Linked DNA regions of Mus musculus. The protein of the gene in region 3 interacts with the protein of the main gene of each other region in a pairwise test. Links are inferred from orthologs where the notes say so. Each region holds a gene or a part of one and is shown on either strand. Other genes may lie near its edges.

Evidence for each region.
Region 1: the proteins of Lsmem2 (region 3) and Gimap3 interact in binary tests that used the Homo sapiens proteins (3 or more experiments, as listed by UniProt). The two-hybrid records come from large-scale screens. The link is inferred for Mus musculus from reciprocal best matches to the Homo sapiens genes LSMEM2 and GIMAP5.
Region 2: the proteins of Lsmem2 (region 3) and Lsmem1 interact in binary tests that used the Homo sapiens proteins (3 or more experiments, as listed by UniProt). The two-hybrid records come from large-scale screens. The link is inferred for Mus musculus from reciprocal best matches to the Homo sapiens genes LSMEM2 and LSMEM1.

What each region holds. Positions count from the first base shown.
Region 1 is NC_000072.6:48,766,973-48,772,793, forward strand, and holds the start of Gimap3 (GTPase IMAP family member 3), read right to left. Parts: upstream 3,880-5,821; 5' UTR 3,670-3,879; intron 1,875-3,669; 5' UTR 1,765-1,874; intron 805-1,764; 5' UTR 518-804; intron 1-517. UniProt on the Homo sapiens protein: Plays a role in T lymphocyte development and the optimal generation of CD4/CD8 double-positive thymocytes. Inhibitor of GSK3A, possibly by sequestering GSK3A in cytoplasmic vesicles and impairing its translocation to the nucleus.
Region 2 is NC_000078.6:40,195,437-40,201,214, reverse strand, and holds the start of Lsmem1 (leucine-rich single-pass membrane protein 1), read left to right. Parts: upstream 1-1,899; 5' UTR 1,900-2,008; intron 2,009-5,778.
Region 3 is NC_000075.6:107,593,796-107,599,782, reverse strand, and holds the start of Lsmem2 (leucine-rich single-pass membrane protein 2), read left to right. Parts: upstream 1-2,707; 5' UTR 2,708-2,772; coding exon 2,773-2,794; intron 2,795-5,586; coding exon 5,587-5,697; intron 5,698-5,771; coding exon 5,772-5,957; intron 5,958-5,987. Other genes in the region: Sema3b (semaphorin-3B precursor), read left to right, coding at 67-206, 608-1,012.

The sequences.
Region 1 (5,821 bases), on a different chromosome or scaffold from region 3:
AGTTCCCAGAAAACCAGGAGCAACTGTTCACCAAGGAGTAGGAGTGCACTGTGGGACCTGTTTGGGAGTGGTGGGCTGCCCCCAGTAAGCAGAAAGAAAAGCTAAGTCCTAAGGCTGCATAGTCAATGTGCTGTGCTCCTGGAATCTACAGCTTCCCTGTTTCCAGTTCAATCCTGGGATTAGAAACACCTCGAGGGTGTCTTTCTTTCAGGCCCTTCCTTTCCTTCTACCCTGTTCTTCACAAGCCTTTCTGATCCTTGTCCTACCCCACTCTACCTACCTCTTGTACCAGGTTAGGGAGAACAACTTCCCAGCTTTTTTACCAGGAAGAACCTATACAGACCTTCCAAATTCAGGCCCCTGCTTGTCAAAGCTTTTGAGTATTTCCTTGACTATGTTCCAGGAGTAAGGTCTTGTATTAGTCTGGTTCTGTAGAGGAACAGAACTTAATAGAACACACACACACACACACACACACACACACACAATAGAAAAGGGATTTATTAGAATGGCTTACAGTCTCTGGTCCAGCCAGTCCAACTATGCCTGTTTACCAATGGGAAGTCCAGTAGTTGTTCAGTCCATGAGTCTGGACATCTCAGATGGTCTGTAGTATACACTGGAATCCTGAAGAAATATGCTCTAATGCCAGTGAAGGAATGCACTTGACAGTGAGAATGAGAGTAATGAAGCAAAGAGAGCAAGCTTCCTTCTTCCATGGCTGCCAGCAGATGGTGTGACGGTATGACCCAGGTTAAAGGTGAATCTTCCCATCTCAAGGATCCAGATTAGAAATTGGTCTCCCTTTAAAACAGTTAATTAAACAAGCAAAAAACCCCTCATAGGCGTGCCCAGCAATTTGGTTTTTACTTAATTCTATATGTAGTCAATCCCATATGTAAGCAAAATGAAACGAAAATATCCAACATTAGCCTCAAAATGAGTGTCTAAAGAATGTCTAATTAGCCAGGCAGTGGTCACACCTTTAATCCCAGCACTTGGGAGGCAGAGGCAGGTGGATTTCTGAGTTCAAGGCCAGCCTGGTCTACAGAGTGAGTTCCAGGACATCCAGGGCTATACAGAGAAACCCTGTCTTGAAAAACCAAAATAAAATAAAATAAAATAAAATAAAATAAAATAAAATAAAATAAAAAGAATGTCTAATTACAGAACCTCAGGGTCTCTGGTGTGTCACTTAAAAACACTTTTTGAAACAAATGGATTTTCTAGATGTTTTCTAGCTCTTCCACATATGAAACCGTCCAGAGACCAACTTGACAAGAAATATAAATTAAAATAAATATAAATTAAACTTTAATTTCAACACTGGATGCCAGGATCCAGCATTTAGCCCAGTAACTTTCAGCCTCCAGACACCTGCAGGGCTCAGGCATTCTGTCCCTCCATGGTCATGTGAGCCAGTTCCTAAAGCAAATCTCTGAATCTGTTGTTTCCATTGCCCTGGAGAGCTGAAGTCCATCAAAGCCAAGGCTCAGCTGAAGCAGAAAGATGCAGAGAACCAAACTCGACCCTCAGCTTTGCTTTGTTCTCTTTGTAAGAAAGAAGAGGAAAGGGTTGAAGCTCAGTCCTGAGGCCCTGTGGAAGCCCTGAGCGGCTTACACGTCTGTGAGGGGACTGACTAGGTTGAACAACACTGCCGATGAAAGAGCGAAGGTCACACTACCACTGCTTCCTGTACAGCTCCCTGGGCTGTGCTCCTCAGCGTATGCTGATGGGTGGGGTCTGGCGCCCCTAGGTGCTTACCAACAGTCTCTCAGGCAGGAGTACTCATACAATGCCTTTGGCCAAGCAACTGGTGGCAGGTCATTCCTCCAAATTGAGAGCCTTAAACTGCTGCCATCTCAGAATCAAGCCTGAGGAGAAAGAGGAGCGAAAGCAAGAGTGGAAACATTGCTTCTCAAGCCTTTTTCTTTAGACATTTTTTTTTCCTCTCCAGTGCTTTCTCTAGTCTGAACCCACACAGTTCCAGCAAAATGACTGTCACCTTGCTGTTTCTCATCTGTACCCCTTTCCCACGCGGTCCCCTTCATTTTATGCTGGGCCACCATTTTTTCAAGACAGCAGTGTGCCCTGTCCCCACCCACTAGGATCCAAGTGTCAGCCCACCCCTACCACTCCACCACTTCACCCACACACCTGTCAGTCCTTTCGTTTATTTTTTAAGAAGTCAGTGTGTGTGTGTGTTTGTGTGTGTGTGTCAGTTATTTCTGGCCCTTGGTTGAACCTTGGAGCTAGCAAAAGTGGAAGAGCTCCCCATATCTAAGAGGCCCTCCCCTGGCAGTGCTTCCCTCATGCAGGACTGGAAGAGACTGGAAGAGGGCATGGGCAGGCCACACTTAGAAGCACTGTGAGAAGGTCACAGACTTGTGTGTTGGCCTTGTGCAGATTATCTTGGTCTCATTTGAGAAAACTGATAATATCATTCTTTCTTTCCCATATCCTTCACCACAGCATCTTGAGAACAAACTGTCCTAATGGGGAAAATGTGTCATGCTGTTATGAGGGAAAACCAGTGTGCAATGGTCATGGGGTCCTTTCCGGGAATAAAAGCTTTACTGCCTGCAGCTTCATTCTGTTTGCTTTGACTGGTCTTTAAAGAATGTATTACTTTATCCAAAACAAACAGCAAATGCTTTCTGTGAACAGATGAACCTGAGTGAACGCACACCTTTAATCCCAGCACTCGGGAGGCAGAGACAGGCAGATTTCTGAGTTGAAGGCCAGCCTGGTCTACAGAGTGAGTTCCAGGACAGCCCGGGCTACACAGAGAAACCCTGTCTCGAAAAACAAAACAAAACAAAACAAATTCCCTCCTGCCCAGCACTGTGAATGTTCACCAAGAAAAAGAAAAGTGATGGGAAAGAAAGAAAATTAAACCTGCAGGGGACGGGGAGATAAGATAGCCAGTCCAGCCACTCAGTGAGTACTGGATTCAGTGAGATGATACGCCAATAGATAATTTAGCCAGTCAGAGAGTGCAGACCACAGTCAGTGATGGAAAAAGACATCTGGTGTCCCTTTGCTCTCCAACATCGAGGAACCCAAGGCTCTGGGGAAGAGCCTGGGGTTGTTCTTATCCATTGATAGAGTCCTGACCCCGACTGGATAAAGCGAATGCTAGTCAGACAGCTAGGGTTCCTTCTGGACGATGGGTAGTGTATGAACTTCAGATCACCCATGGGGCCCACGTTCCATCTTCCTGCCACAACTCTAATTTCCCAGCTCACAAAACCCGGTCTGATGCCCCGTCCCAAAGACTGGTTCCCCTCCAGCTGCTCTCTGGTTCCCAGACACTCAATACAAGCCTGGCTGACAGCTCTAGGGAAATTGCTTTAGAAGCTTGTCTGCTCCCTTTCGCCCTTGGAAAGCAAGGAGAATGTCTAAGAGTCCACCTCTCCTGAGTCCTCAGTGGTGTGTTAGCCTTGTTCTGTGAGGGAGAAAACTCACTGATGTTCCACAGACAAGACTAAAAGTCCCTGGGGAACAGGAATTTCTCTACAGTCTATGAAAAAAGATCAGTTGTCTTTCCCTTCAGGTTGACACTAATTGTTACTGGTAGATTTAAGGGTGAGCAGGATAGAAGAACACCACACACACACACACACACACACACACACACACACACACACACCACAAGATCCCTGTTACCTGGTGAGTTCCTGAGGATCTTTCCATTCAAGATCTATAGCCACTGTGGAGCTACCTTCCAGGCCTAGGCAGCCTCTCACATTGGTTTGTAGTCTTTCGTAAAAGTACAAGAGCTACAAGAGGTGAAGGCCAGCTCACAAGATCTGTCTTCCAGGGGGAGGAAGACGGTGTCTCCTGAGGGGTGGGAAAGGGTGATGTACATGAGTTTCTCTGAAAAGGGGTGCTCTGAGGGCCACTGAAGAAGGCAGCCAGTGGAAAAGGTTGATTTAAAAAAAAAAAAAAAGTTCTGCTTCCTGCTCCACCCTCATCGGCCACACCACTGAGATGTTTGTGTACAAAGTATTCTCTATGGGCCTAAGAGAATCTAGAAGTCTAAAAGCATGGGCAACCCAAGACTCTAGCTTCTGCTCCTCCTCACCAGGCAGACAGCATGCATCTCTTCTGCTCTGCTGTTTACCTCTGCCATCCGGAGGTAGCTTCTTAGATGGAATTTGAGGTGGCAGTTGAGCCTAAAGTGGCTCTCTCCAGGGCCCACTGGACAGATCAATAGCTATCATGCTTGAGCCTGGCTAAGGTACCCTGGCTTCTAGGGAGAGTATGGGAGAACAAGGCTTAGGTTTTCTCACCTGGGCAGACCTTGTCTCCACAGAAGCCATGAAGCTAGCTACCCAGTCTATAGTATGGTTTAGGCAAAGCAACAGCACTTAGTGGAATCCCAAGTCCCTGTGCCTCTGCCTGCTGCCCTGCAGGACTCAGGATCCGGAGTGAGCCAGGTCTCCTCCCTGGAGGAGTTCCACTTAGCCGTGTGTTTGAGTTCAGATCACTTTTTTATTCACTTGCTGTTCTTTTCCGCGTATGAGTGTTTTGCCTACATGTATGCAAGTGCCCTCTGCACATGCCTGGTGCTTGCAGAAGCCAGGAGAGGCTGCTGGATCCCCTGGATCTGGAACTATTAACACTTGTAAGGCTCCTTAACTACTGAGCCATCCCTCCAATCCCAAGTTTGGGTGATTTTTTTTTTTTTTTAAACAAAAGAATGTTCAAGGAGGAGAGTGGGATATGGGATCTATTTGGGTGAAATGAATATAGATGTTGTTCCTATAACCTGCATGTTCATATCCTTAGCTTTTTGTTTTGTTTTGTTTGTTGGTTTTTTTCGAGACAGGGTTTCTCTGTGTAGCCCTGGCTGTCCCGGTCTGTAGACCAGGCTGGCCTTGAACTCAGAACTATCTGCCTGCCTCTGCCTCCCAAGTGCTGGGATTAAAGGTGTGAGCCACCACTGCCTGGCTGTTGTTTTGTTTTGTTGTTTTAATTGACATGTATGCTCTTGTGGGTTCCTGAATCCACCTCAGCTCCTGCAGTGTGATTTCTTCCTCACAGAACTCAGGGATTGTTTGGAACCTTTTCTCACTGCAGCTTTCTGGTCCACGCCTCCAAAGGGAAGGTGCATCCTGCTGTGAAGGGACGGTCAGCAGGAAAGGAAGCCAGACTGCAGCCAATGAGAACAAGAGCCTGAGGCTCAAAACTGTAGGAAGGGAGTGGGAACTGGCGTCGACGTCTTGCAAACACTGCCCCCTGCTGGTTACCTGCTGGTTTGCTGTGTTCTGTTTTGCCCAGTCTGGAAATATTGAACAGTGGTTTGGGGGAGTTGTTTGTTTATTTTTGATGTGCCTGAGCTCGCACGTGCACATGCTCCTGAGTGAACACAGGAAAGCCAGAAGACTGACTGAAGGTGTCTTCTATTACTGCGATACCCTATTGCCTTGAAATAGGATCTCTCAGTGAATTCTTGATTTCTACTAGGTTGACTGCCAGGAGCTCTAGGACCTGCCACTTTGCGCCCGATGCTGAGATTACAGGCACAAGCAGTCATGCCCAGATTTTTATTTGGATGCTGGGGATTCCAACTTAGGTTCTCATGCTTGCACATAAAAAGTTCTTACTCACTGAAGGCTAACCGTCGCCTCTCAGCCTCAACAAATGCTTTCCTTTTGACTTGCTACTCTAGAGAGCCCTCCTTTCTCATCACCTTGTTTAAAACCATGCTGCTGTACCCACACGAGAGTCCAAACACGAATGCCTATGGCAGATTTGTTCACAAAGCCCATCCAAATGCAGAGACAACTCAGATACACTTTAGTAGGTGGGTGTG
Region 2 (5,778 bases), on a different chromosome or scaffold from region 3:
CTTAGTTTCCCACCACAGTCACATTGTTTGAACTCTGGTATTTATTCCTATTTCCATCTTGTGGCATATTCCTATGCTTTTTTTTTTTTTTTTTTTTTTTTTTTTGTTTAGTTAGGGTTTGAGGAATGAGAAATAAGCACTTAACCCATGCTTGAGATTACAAAGATGGAAATCTTAAGAATTCATTGAGTAACTTCTGCTGGCAACGATTGCTAAGAACCTGATGTTTAAGAATTGAGTTGAAAGTAGTGCCAGCCAGCCAACCACTGATTCTCAGCCAAATTACTGTAGCACAAGAATTAATTTCAAAACAATAGACTCAACTCTATGATGGCTGGGAATTGACTGGATACCATGAGGGGCATTTGAAAGAAATGTAAGGCCCTAGACATGTTTTCTACTGATTCAAAAAGCAGCATTTCAGTATTAAGAGAGCCGTCATATTCTGGTCAAGTCGTTGTCTACGAGTCAAAGTAAAGCCAGGTGCCTTCAGACAGGTTTGATGGATGGACACATGCATGGGGTTGTCTCATCGCTGCCACTTTACCCTCCCTGGCAGTGGAGGCTGTTTCCCATCTCTGGAGGACTAGTACTTGAGGTTATAATGTTAGAAGAAGGGGAAAACAGCCATCAAAACTGAAGCAAGTACTTCTGAGATGATAGGGGATTTGGGACAGATTGGGTAGTTAGAAGAGTTTTGGTTTTTGACCTGCATGACTAGATGATGGGAACATCTTCATTTTTTCTGAGCTTAGTTTTAATACAGGTGACAGCACTTAATGATAAAGGTATCAAGTGCATGGTCTTCTTGGTTCTCAAGCTATGGGAAGACCAAAAAATGTGAGATTCCTGTTCTCTGACAGTATAATAATGTCCCTAAAGAACCGTGTAAGAGAAGCTGGAACACACAGAGCTATAGAATGAGCGGGCACTTGTGAGCGAAGGCAGATCTTAAACAACTGCAAGTCTGTTTTCATCCAAACTGTGTGTGATCTGGCACCCGGAGCTTGCAGGCCCCAGCTCTCACTGTAGTACCTATTGTGTACACCAGAGGGCAGAAACTGCCTGCCACTTGTGGAAAGGAAACAAGGCTGCTATTTCCAAAAGGCAGGTGCGCTTCTGAAGCCCATTTTGGATGGAATGCTGAAGTGTGCAATCTTTGCACCCACAGACACTTTTTGTAAAGCTAATTGAAAGCCCAGGAGTCCCCGGACCTGCTGCTATAGTTTAGATCTCTGAAGTCTCCTTAAAGAAAAGTGTAGAAGGCTTGCATGGTCACCAGCCTGGAACCGCTGGAGAATGGTGGATCTTTAGGTGTGAGGCTTGGTTGAAGACAAGTCTTTGGCCCTTTCCTCTCAAGCCTCTTCTTTCAGCTGTACCTGTTACCATGTTTTCTATTTCTGCAAGCCTAGATCAGAGGTCTGAAACGGGGGGCGGGGGGGGGGGCTAGTATAAAGCTGACTTATTTTGGATACAGGGATGGAAATCTAACACATCAGCCACTCCGCTAGTTGTGTTATCACAGCTATCCTCCCTGTTTACTGAGGTCTCTGCACACCAGATGTCCCAGTGGCAGCTCCTGCCTGCTGCAGGGTATTTATACACAGGAGCACAGCACAGCAGAAGCGCTAGCTAGGAAATGTGCTGTCAGACGATACAGCCACTTCCACTGAGTAAGGACTTTCAACTTGAGCTTCATATGAACCACATCAGTTACCAACTGAATCCAGGCTTGCCGGTCTGTTGTTTTAAAGCAAAGCTTCACCAATTCGTATCTTAAACTCGGACATGAGAGCGGAAGCCACTGCAGGGAATCTTGTTATCGCTTGGCTACATTTACACTAAATATAGACCACCAATTATGTGCTGGGTTTACGGGCCTCAGGGGAGCACTTGTGAGCAGCAGGAAGATTAAGAGCGAACTACAGAACTGGTAGAAAGTTTGGCTGTAGTTGTTCCTGAGTAGTTGTCTTTTCTAGGAAACCGAGCATTGGAGGCTCACGTCTTTGTAAGTAATTTGCATGCTATTTCTTACTGAGACCGAATGATGATTTTTGAGTCCTTGGGGTTTTGATTGCATGTATTCTGTGCTTTTCGACTGCTCATAGAAAAGATGTAGACTTGATTTTTAAAATTACCTCCTGACTTGGAGGCATGAACTCAGGAATGCCGTTCATACGTGGCCGTGGCTCACTCAAGGAAGCATCGTATTAAGCTTTGAGTTCAGCCTTCATTGGTAAACAATTCTGAGTTCGTAGCATACAATATGGTTTTCTGCTTTGATACCAATACCTGCAGGGAGAATGTACAATGAGTTTTTTTTTTTCAGAGACAATTTTTATTTGTTGAAGTGTCCTACTGGTAGAGAATCAAGCAATTATTAGATGATGAAAGGCTCAGCTGTTAGCAGTGATCAAGAACACGGGAAAATGAAACTACTTACGTGTCTGAGTTCCAGGATCAGAAAAGAATCTGCCCAGTGGAGCTCGGCAGGAAGGCCAAGTTAGTGCGACACGGAATAGGTAGTGACACTCTGCAGCGGCCTCGGTGGTTGTTTCTGAATGCCCTCATTTCAGCTTCCAAAGATAGCAAGGGCTGGTGTTGACAGCTGTGGGTTCTGGTTTTCAAGGTGTGTCCTTGTATCCGTTTACTGGCAGAGTCCCTCAGAAGCCACCTGCAGGCCCTTGGAGCCCATGAATCACACTGCCTTTTTTTCCTCTACTAGCTTGTCTTTCATTTTAACATGTCGCAACACTGAAAAGGCTTATTGAAAAAACATCTACCAACATTGTGAGCTCGCTGTAAAGATGTCTCCTTCTAGAGGACTCCATTATTTACTTGGTCTATTTTAGATTTAGAAAAAAAATCTTGAACAAATTTTATGACAGATTTTATTCTAAATTATGTGTGTGGGCGGGGCATGTTTATGCCACAACACTTACTTGGAGGTCAGAGGACAAGTTGCAGGAGTTGGTTCCCATCGAACAAAGGTGAAGGAGATTGAGTTCTGGCTACCAGGCTTAGTGCCATGTCTCCGTAGCTTAGCTATCTTGGCATCGCCTTCTTAGTCTGTGGCAAGCAAAGTTTAGTAACTGGACTATTACTTTAAAAGTAGGACCTTTTAGCAGTGACTTTTGTAGCTAGTCTTCCTCTCCTCCTCCTCCTCCTCCTCCTCCTCCTCCTCCTCCTCTTCTTCTCCTCCTCCTCCTCCTCCTCCTCCTCCTCCTCCTCCTCCTTCTTCTTCTTCTGCTCTCTCTCTCTCTCTCTCTCTCTCTCTCTCTCTCTCTCTCTCTCTCTCTCTCTCTCTCAACAGTAGTGACATTCCTGAGGGTGAAATAGCTATTAAGTCAGATTCAGAAATAAACTGTGTCTCTGTTACCATGCCCAAAATAGAAGCTGAGTTTGTAACAATGATCCTACCATGTGACCACATGCACCTATTTTTTTCCTGGTCCCCTCCACCCCCACAGAAAATGGTGTTTGGAATAATAAAGTATAAGCAGGTGATGAAGAAAGCACTTCCAAAAATGTGGCTTCAAGCCTGGTGCCCTGGCATCCAACAGCACTTCAAGGGCATGGCTTATCTTCTAAGGGGTGAGGTTTGCTCTCTGAGGCACTTTCCTTCCCTTCACAGCTGCTGCTGGTCTTGTTTTTAACTGTATCCTGTCATTCTTTTAAGACTGCCCCAATGCAGGATATTTGAAGTACAATAATTTCAATATTTAAAGCACTTTATAGTAATGACTCCATACATGCATTCTTTCCAATTAACATGTCAGGATAATTAAAACATACAGTTTGAATTTATGAGAAAAAAATCAGTGCATGACTTTTGGATCTTTTTTTTAACCTTGAATATTAAATACATCTTATTGTATATTTTCTTTATTTACATTTAAAATGTTCTCCCCTTTCCCGATTTCCAGCCCCCACAGAAGCCCTCCTTATCCCATTTCCCTCTCCCTGCTTCTATGAGGATGCTCCCCCACCCACCCACCCACCCACTCCCACCTTCCCACCCTGGCATTCCCCTACACTGGGGCATCAAGCCTTCACAGTACCAATTGCCTCTCCTCCCTTTTGATGCCTGACAAGGCCATCCTCTGCTACATATGTGGCTGGAGCCATGGGTCCCTCCATGTGTACTCCTTGGTTGGTGGTTTAGTCCCAGGGAGCTCTGGGGTGTCTGGTTGGTTGATATTGTTGTTCTTCTTATGGGGTTGCAAACCCCTTCAAATCCTTCAGTCCTTTCTCTAACTCCTCCCTTGGAGACCCTATGGGGACCCCATGCTCAGCCCAATGGTTGGCTGCAAGCATCTGCCTCTGTACTTGTCAGGTTCTGGCAGAGCCTCTCAGGAGACAGCTATATCAGGCTCCTGTCAGCATGAACTTCTTGGAATCTACAATAGTATCTGTGTTTGGAGACTATATATGGGATGAATCCCCAGGTGGGGCAGTCTCTGGATGGCCTTTCCTTCAGTCTCTGCTCCACACTTTGTCTCCATATTTGCTCCCATGAGAGTTTTGTTCCCCCTTCTACACCCACACTTTGGTATTCCTTCTTCTTGAGCTTTGTGTGGTCTTTAAATTGTATCTTGGTATTCTGAGCTTTTGGGGCTAATATTCACTTATCAATGAATGCATACCATGTGTGTCCTTTTGTGATTGGGTTACCTCACTCAGGGTGATATTTTCTAGTTCCATCCATTTGCTTAAGAATTACATGAAGTCATTGTTTTTAATAGCCGAGTAGTACTCCATTGTGTAAATGTACCATATTTTCTGTATCTATTCCTCTGTTGGAGGACATCTAGGTTCTTTCCACCTTCTGGCTATTATAAATAAGGCTGCTATGAACTTAACAGAGCATGTGTCCTTGTTATATGTTGGAGCATCTTTTGGGTATATGCCCGGAAGTGGTATAGCTGGGTCCTCAGGTAATACTATGTTCAATTTTCTGAAGAACCACCAGACTGGTTTCTTTTTTTGTGTGTGTCTGTGTGTGTCTATATTTTAAATACTTTTTATTAGGTATTTTCCTCATTTACATTACCAATGCTATCCCAAAAGTCCCCCATACCCTCTCTCCCAATCCCCTACCCACCCACTCCCCCTTTTTGGGCCTGGCGTTCCCCTGTACTGGGGCATATAAAGTTTGCAAGTCCAATGGGCCTCTTTTTCCAGTGATGGCCGACTAGGCCATCTTTTGATACATATGCAGCTAGAGTCAAGAGCTCCGGGGTGCTGGTTAGTTCATAATGTTGTTCTACCTATAGGGTTGCAGATCCCTTTAGCTCCTTGGGTACTTTCTCTAGCTCCTCCATTGGGGGCCCTGTGATCCATCCAATAGCTGACTGTGAGCATCCACTTCTGTGTTTGCTAGGCCCCGGCATAGTCTCACAAGAGACAGCTATATCTGGGTCCTTTCAGCAAAATCTTGCTAGTATATGCCATGGTGTCAGCGTTTGGAAGCTGATTATGGGATGGAACCCTGGATATGGCAGGCTCTAGATGGTCCATCCTTTTGACACAGCTCCAAACTTTGTCTCTGTAACTCCTTCCATGGGTGTTTTGTTCCCAATTCTAAGGAGGGGCAAAGTGTCCATACTTTGGTCTTCGTTCTTCTTGAGTTTCATGTGTTTAGCAAATTGTATCTTATATCTTGGGTATCCTAAGTTTCTGGGCTAATATCCACTTATCAGTGAGTACATATTGTGTGAGTTCCTTTGTGACTGGGCTACCTCACTCAGGATGATACCCTCCAGGTCCATCCATTTG
Region 3 (5,987 bases):
CTGTCCTCGGCCCTTGAAATTGCCACACCCAAGCCTTGTCTGAACTTTTACATCTTTTGTCTCAAGACTCTTCTCACTCTGTGCTGCTGGAGAAGAAGGTGTTGGGTGTGGAGAGCGGCAGCGCGTTTCTGGAGTGTGAGCCCCGCTCGCTCCAGGCGCATGTGCAGTGGACCTTCCAAGGTGCAGGGGAGGCAGCTCACACCCAGGTGTGCCTTGCTCCACCCTTCCTAACCAGGCCCATTTAAGAGAAGCTATGCCCTGCCTAAGGAGGCCTTTGGCCTGTACCTCATACCGTTCAGTGAGTCAGATTCCCTTATCATAGTTTGTCTCATCCTCTACTGTCCTTAGCTCCACAACCTAGTGATGCCCCAACTGTGCCCACCTAGACTCCTGACCCACCCTCTACCATCTGGAGAGAGAAAGCCCTCAACCCCCCACGCGCGCACTGAGGTTTCTAGTCTACCCAATCCCCCACTCACCTAGATGGACTCATCCTCCGAAGGCTAAGTTCACATACCCTTTAAAGTGAGTCAATGCCAGCACCCATTTTCCTTGTCCACCTTTGGCTTCCAATGATCCTTGTTTCTGTCCCTTCCCTCACACACAGGTGCTGGCTGAGGAGAGAGTAGAGCGCACTGCGCGGGGGCTGCTGTTGCGGGGGCTGCGGCGCCAGGACTCTGGCGTGTATCTTTGCGTCGCGGTTGAACAAGGCTTTTCACAACCACTGCGTCGCCTGGTGCTGCATGTGTTGAGTGCGGCGCAGGCTGAACGACTGGCACGGGCAGAGGAAGCAGCCGCTCCTGCACCTCCTGGCCCTAAACTCTGGTACCGGGACTTTCTGCAGTTGGTGGAGCCAGGCGGTGGCGGAGGTGCAAACTCCCTGCGAATGTGCCGCCCGCAGCCCGGGCACCACTCTGTGGCAGCAGATTCACGTCGTAAGGGTCGCAACAGACGGATGCATGTCTCTGAGCTCCGTGCTGAGCGTGGACCACGTAGTGCAGCTCACTGGTGACTCGGCTGTCCCCACAATGGGACGAGGCTGAATATGACACTCCAAAGAGGGGCAGACAGATGCCAGGAAGACAAATGAGTTATGGCTGGGCCACACTGAGGTCCTTGGGCCAACAGAGACACCTAACCCTTACATAGGCCCTGGCCAAAGGGTAGCTTATTTATTAACAAGATAACCCGTGGATGTAGCCTCAAAGAGTGGCCTAAGCTCAATTCAGGATCTAACCAGGAGGGAGGGGACAGAGACGTGGGGTTCCAGAGTGGACCAGGACCAGAGAGTTGTCTTGGGTGGCAGCCCTGGGGAAAGAATTCTCTTTCTTGGGCAGCAAGCAGCAAGCTGTGAACAGATTAGACCGTTGGGTATGGGGTGAGGCAGGCCAACTGTACTAAAGTAACGCAATAAACACATTATCAGCTGACATTGGAATGGCCCCAGCAGACAACAGGTAGTCCTAGACCTTGCTGGGGGCTCTTGGGTATCGCCCTAGGGGTCTCAAGACCTGCATTTTCCTCATCCAAGAATGCTAAAGTGAAGATTAAACGTGTTAGTAGACGACTACGCTGGTTCCAGTGAGCCTCTGGGGTACTGGCAATACACAGTGCATTAGTGGCAGGACCAAGCTCTCTGAAGTAAAACCAATACTGGCTGTTGTGGGCAAGGATGTATTAATTCACTGAACGGGTGGTGTTTGAGCTGAATAAGAAGGAGCCAATCACCAATGTCTGGTGACAGAACATTCCGGGATAGAAGAACCAGGGCAACAACGTCGTGGAGCAGGGGACAGACCCTCCAAGTCTGCGGAACAACCAGGAGGCTGATATGGTGTTATGGCACTATGGACTCCTGATGGTTTGGAAGGTAGATCCCACCAGCCCTGCTTTTCACCGTTGAGAAACAGAACAGAGTCCACCCAGACTAAGGCCTGCAAGCTGGACCAGCACCCTTCAAGAGAGCCACGTGCCTCTCTCTCCGTGGCCTGTCAAGCCCTTGTGAAGAGGAGAGGGAGGACCCAAAACCTCTTAAGTGCTTTAGCCATGCTTCTTCATTTTTATTCTCAGTACAGTTGGCCAGGAACCTTTGTTCCTGTTTTACAGATGGAAAAGTGGAAGCCACTCCTGAAGTTCTTTTAACCTAAGGTTATAGTTTAATACTAGACATAGCAGTTTCTAATCCCAGTTCTGTCCACTGGCCAGCATGGGTGCCCACTTGTAGGGCTACCAGATCCCTATGGCATTCATTGGGCTCCAGTTGTGTCCCACCCTACCCCCACTATCTGGTATTAGATGGTCACACAGTGGTGGGTGGTTATCTCCCGTTTGCTGGAAGGAGATGGCTGGTATGTGGGAGTGAGGGATGGCTGAGTGGACTGTGCAGGCATCCTTTTCTACCATGCAACATGGTGCATGCGACACGGTGCATGCTACATGCTGATCTTCAGGATGAAAGCCCCCAAAGTCTAGGTGGGTATAGAGTTGGTATGGTTTTCTGAGAAGTTCCTTGTGCCCATGTGCTAGCAGCTCTTGGCTGAGCCCCTTCACCAAGTAGGTAGTCTAGGGCAGCCCATCTAGGTCACTCTGCCCCTTTCATGGATCGGAGCTGCCCCCTCTAAATATAGTCCAGGAAAAGTGAGCTCAGGCCTATTTTAAGGGCAGGTTGGGAGGCAGCCAGGCCTCTCCCGGAATCTGAAAGGAGCCATTGCTCTCTTTGTCAAGTTTTGCTACTGGGCACTCTCATTGGGCCCTGACTACCTACCAACTGCCATGCCTGAGGAGACCCTAGAAGGTAGGAGAGGGTGGCCACTGGGGAGGACAAGGCTCTAGTTCTGCTCACAGAGAGACCTGGCTTCATGGGGAGACCTCTCGGTCTTTTTGTACCGCACTCCTAGGGACCTACCCCTATGCATGGAGAAAGAATGTATCCGTTATACTTAGAACTCCTCCCCACCTAAGGTCCTGCCTCAGGGAGGGATTCAAAGCTCTCCACTTAGGAGTGGGTCAGCTATAGGCTGTGCCCAAGTGGGTGTGGGCATCTGGGGGAGCTCCCAAGCAGTTCAGATCTTCCTTCAGCGAAGGAGCCAGGATTGGGGTGAAGACCGGTTCTGGGGAGCATTTGGATATCTGGCCCAGGAGGCGATGAAGTAGGCAGGCCTGCCCCGAGTGTCTTAGCCTGCTCAAGACTGGCACTTAGCCGGTCAAGTGCCTTTACCTGCTGAGCCATCCTGTCCCTCCTAAATATTTTACACTGCCGAGAAAGGGCCTGCCCTCTGCTAAGGGATGTTAACCTTTTTGGGGTGAGAGGGGGAGACCTAACTATAACATCTACCATGTGTCTTTTTCTATAGCAAATGAAACATGTTCACATATAAAGTATGGGAGACGCACAGTGAGGAGCAGAGGGGATGTAATGTGACTTGCGGTCCGCCGCCCAGGCTCAAGGACTGACAGCTTCTGGTTTTGTTTGAATTGCTTGTGAGCATGGCATGGGGCAGCTTCAAGCACGTCATAAAGGCTGAGTTACTGTCCGGAGATGGGAGGACCCAAAGCCATCCATCCCCAGTGCTGGGCTACACTGTAACCTGCGTTCCTGGCAGGCATCTGGAGTTGGGGCAAAACCAAACCAAACAACAACATCCAATAAAAGACCTTGACAGTGCACACTCAAGAGGCAGAGACAGGAGGATCTCTGTGAGTTCAAGGCCAGTCTGGTCTATATTCTGAATTCTAGGCAGCCAGGTCCACATAGGGAATCCCTGTTTCAAAACTAAATACCCAGTCAACATCAGCAGAAAGTGTAATTATAGTTATTTAGAAATCACAAATATTTTGATAATAGTTGAAATGCTGAGGCAGAAGGATCACTTGAATTAACCAGGTACTCAAAACCAGTCTGGGAACTTTCTGAGACTGTCTTAAACAGGGGAGGTGGGAGGAGGGACAAGATGGCTCAGTGATTGAAAGCACTTGCTGTATAACCAGAAGATCTGAATTCAGACCCCAGTGACCACGGAACAAGCCAGGTGTGGTCTTGTGTGCCTTATAACCCCAGTGCTGTGTGCACTGGGACATGAGGATAGGAAGGACAATGGAGCTTACTGGTTGCTACCCTTGTTAAAAAACAAAAACACCCAAACAAACAAACAAACCAAATAGCAAAGCTGGGTAGAGATGCACACACCTTTTTTTTTTTTTTTCGAGACAGGGTTTCTCTGCATAGCCCTGGCTGTCCTGGAACTCACTTTGTAGACCAGGCTGGCCTCGAACTCAGAAATCGGTCTGCCTCTGCCTCCCAAGTGCTGGGATCAAAGGCGTGAGCCACCACTGCCCAGCGAGATGCACACACTTAATGCCAGTAATAGGTAGGCCGAGGCAAAAGAATTTCGAGTTTAAGCCCATCCTAGCTTAGGCTACGCAATGAGTTCCAGGCCAGCACAGTGAGTCACTATCTCAAAACAAAACAAAACAAGACAAAACAAAACAAAACCTGAAATAAATATAACCATAAGGGAACCACAGTCAGCGGCTAAATAGGCAGAACCTGTAAACGGTAATTACACACACGTTGGTCAGGCTCCCTAGGCAGCAATCAAGACAAGCTGTTTCTCATCTCTCAAGTTAGCAAATATATGTAAAGGTGTGGGCATACAGAGTCTGGGGATAGTTCTGTGAAGAACTTGTCTAGCATGCTTGAAAGACCTGAGTTTTATTTCTCCGGGGCCAGGATGTGTGTGAAGACTGTCCCACGACATGCTCAGAAGCAAGTCCAAAAGCAGATACTGTCTGCCAGTCTTTATGTCTGGGAGGGGGACTACAGATCTCGGGGTACACACTTCTGATCCCAGGCAGGTCTGGTGAGGTAGAGAGAGTTCCTGGGGCTCCGTAGTTAGTGAGTCTAGGTTATTTATTGGGTTCCAGTGCCAGGTCAGCAAGACCTTTGGCTTCTGCACCACACACACACACACACACACATTTTCCCCACAGTGGGATGGCTAATGGTGGCCATGTTGTACTGCTGGGCTCTGGACAGGCCTTTTAGAAGATAGTTTTGATGATAGCTTCAAAGAGAACTCTCAGTTCTTTGGGCCCCATGATTTCCACTTCTGAGAATTGTCCTCAGTAACTTTCAGGAAAGTGGGGAAAACCTTCATGTTTAATGATGGATGTCCTGGGGGTTAATTTCCACTGAGAATTGGAAACTACCTAAATGCCCAGATAGCCTCAGAGGGAGGCCAGAGGGAGGAGCCCTCAAAGTTAGATTGAAACTGTTAAGAATAAAAGTGGACTCCTGCGGCGCCGTTGAGTGCAAACAGCAGGACTCCCTCCCATAAGAGAGGCCGAATCACTGTGAAGGCAGACCAGAGGCCAGGAGGAATAAGCAGGCAGACCTGGGAAATGCTCAAATGTGACATGGGAGCATGGAGTCCCTGGACCCTTTGGAGCCCTGGACCCAAACTTAGGGTCACCCCTGAAATTGTAGGGAATTTGGAACCAAATGTCACAGGTGCAGTTCCCATATGTCCCAAGTCTCCGCAACCTACAAAGGAACTGATTGCTCCAATTGTCCCACCGCCCCTGTAGACACCGTGTTGCCAATGCAGAACCAGAGGAACAGGGGAGCACTGGCTCCTAACCACGTGCAGGAGGTGCGTCTGCACCGAGTGGAGTCCATCAGTGACCTACACAGCGGAGGTAAGGGAGCTCAGACAGGGAGTGAGATGGATGCTGTGGGTACCACCTTCCCGATGGACCGGTTCTCCTTGCAGGCTCACTACGACCCTGTCTGGTGGAGGAGGCACAGGCATGGGAGGAGCTTCTGGGTGTCTTACCACCATCGCTGTGCACCCAAGCTGGTTGCAGCCCTGTGTGTGGCCGTGGGGGCTTCCTTCTGCTGCTGGTACTGCTGGTGTTCACCTGCCTGGCGCTGGCCACCGTGGCTGTCTATCTAAGTGGTAGGAACAGGCAGGACCAGGAACCCAGGG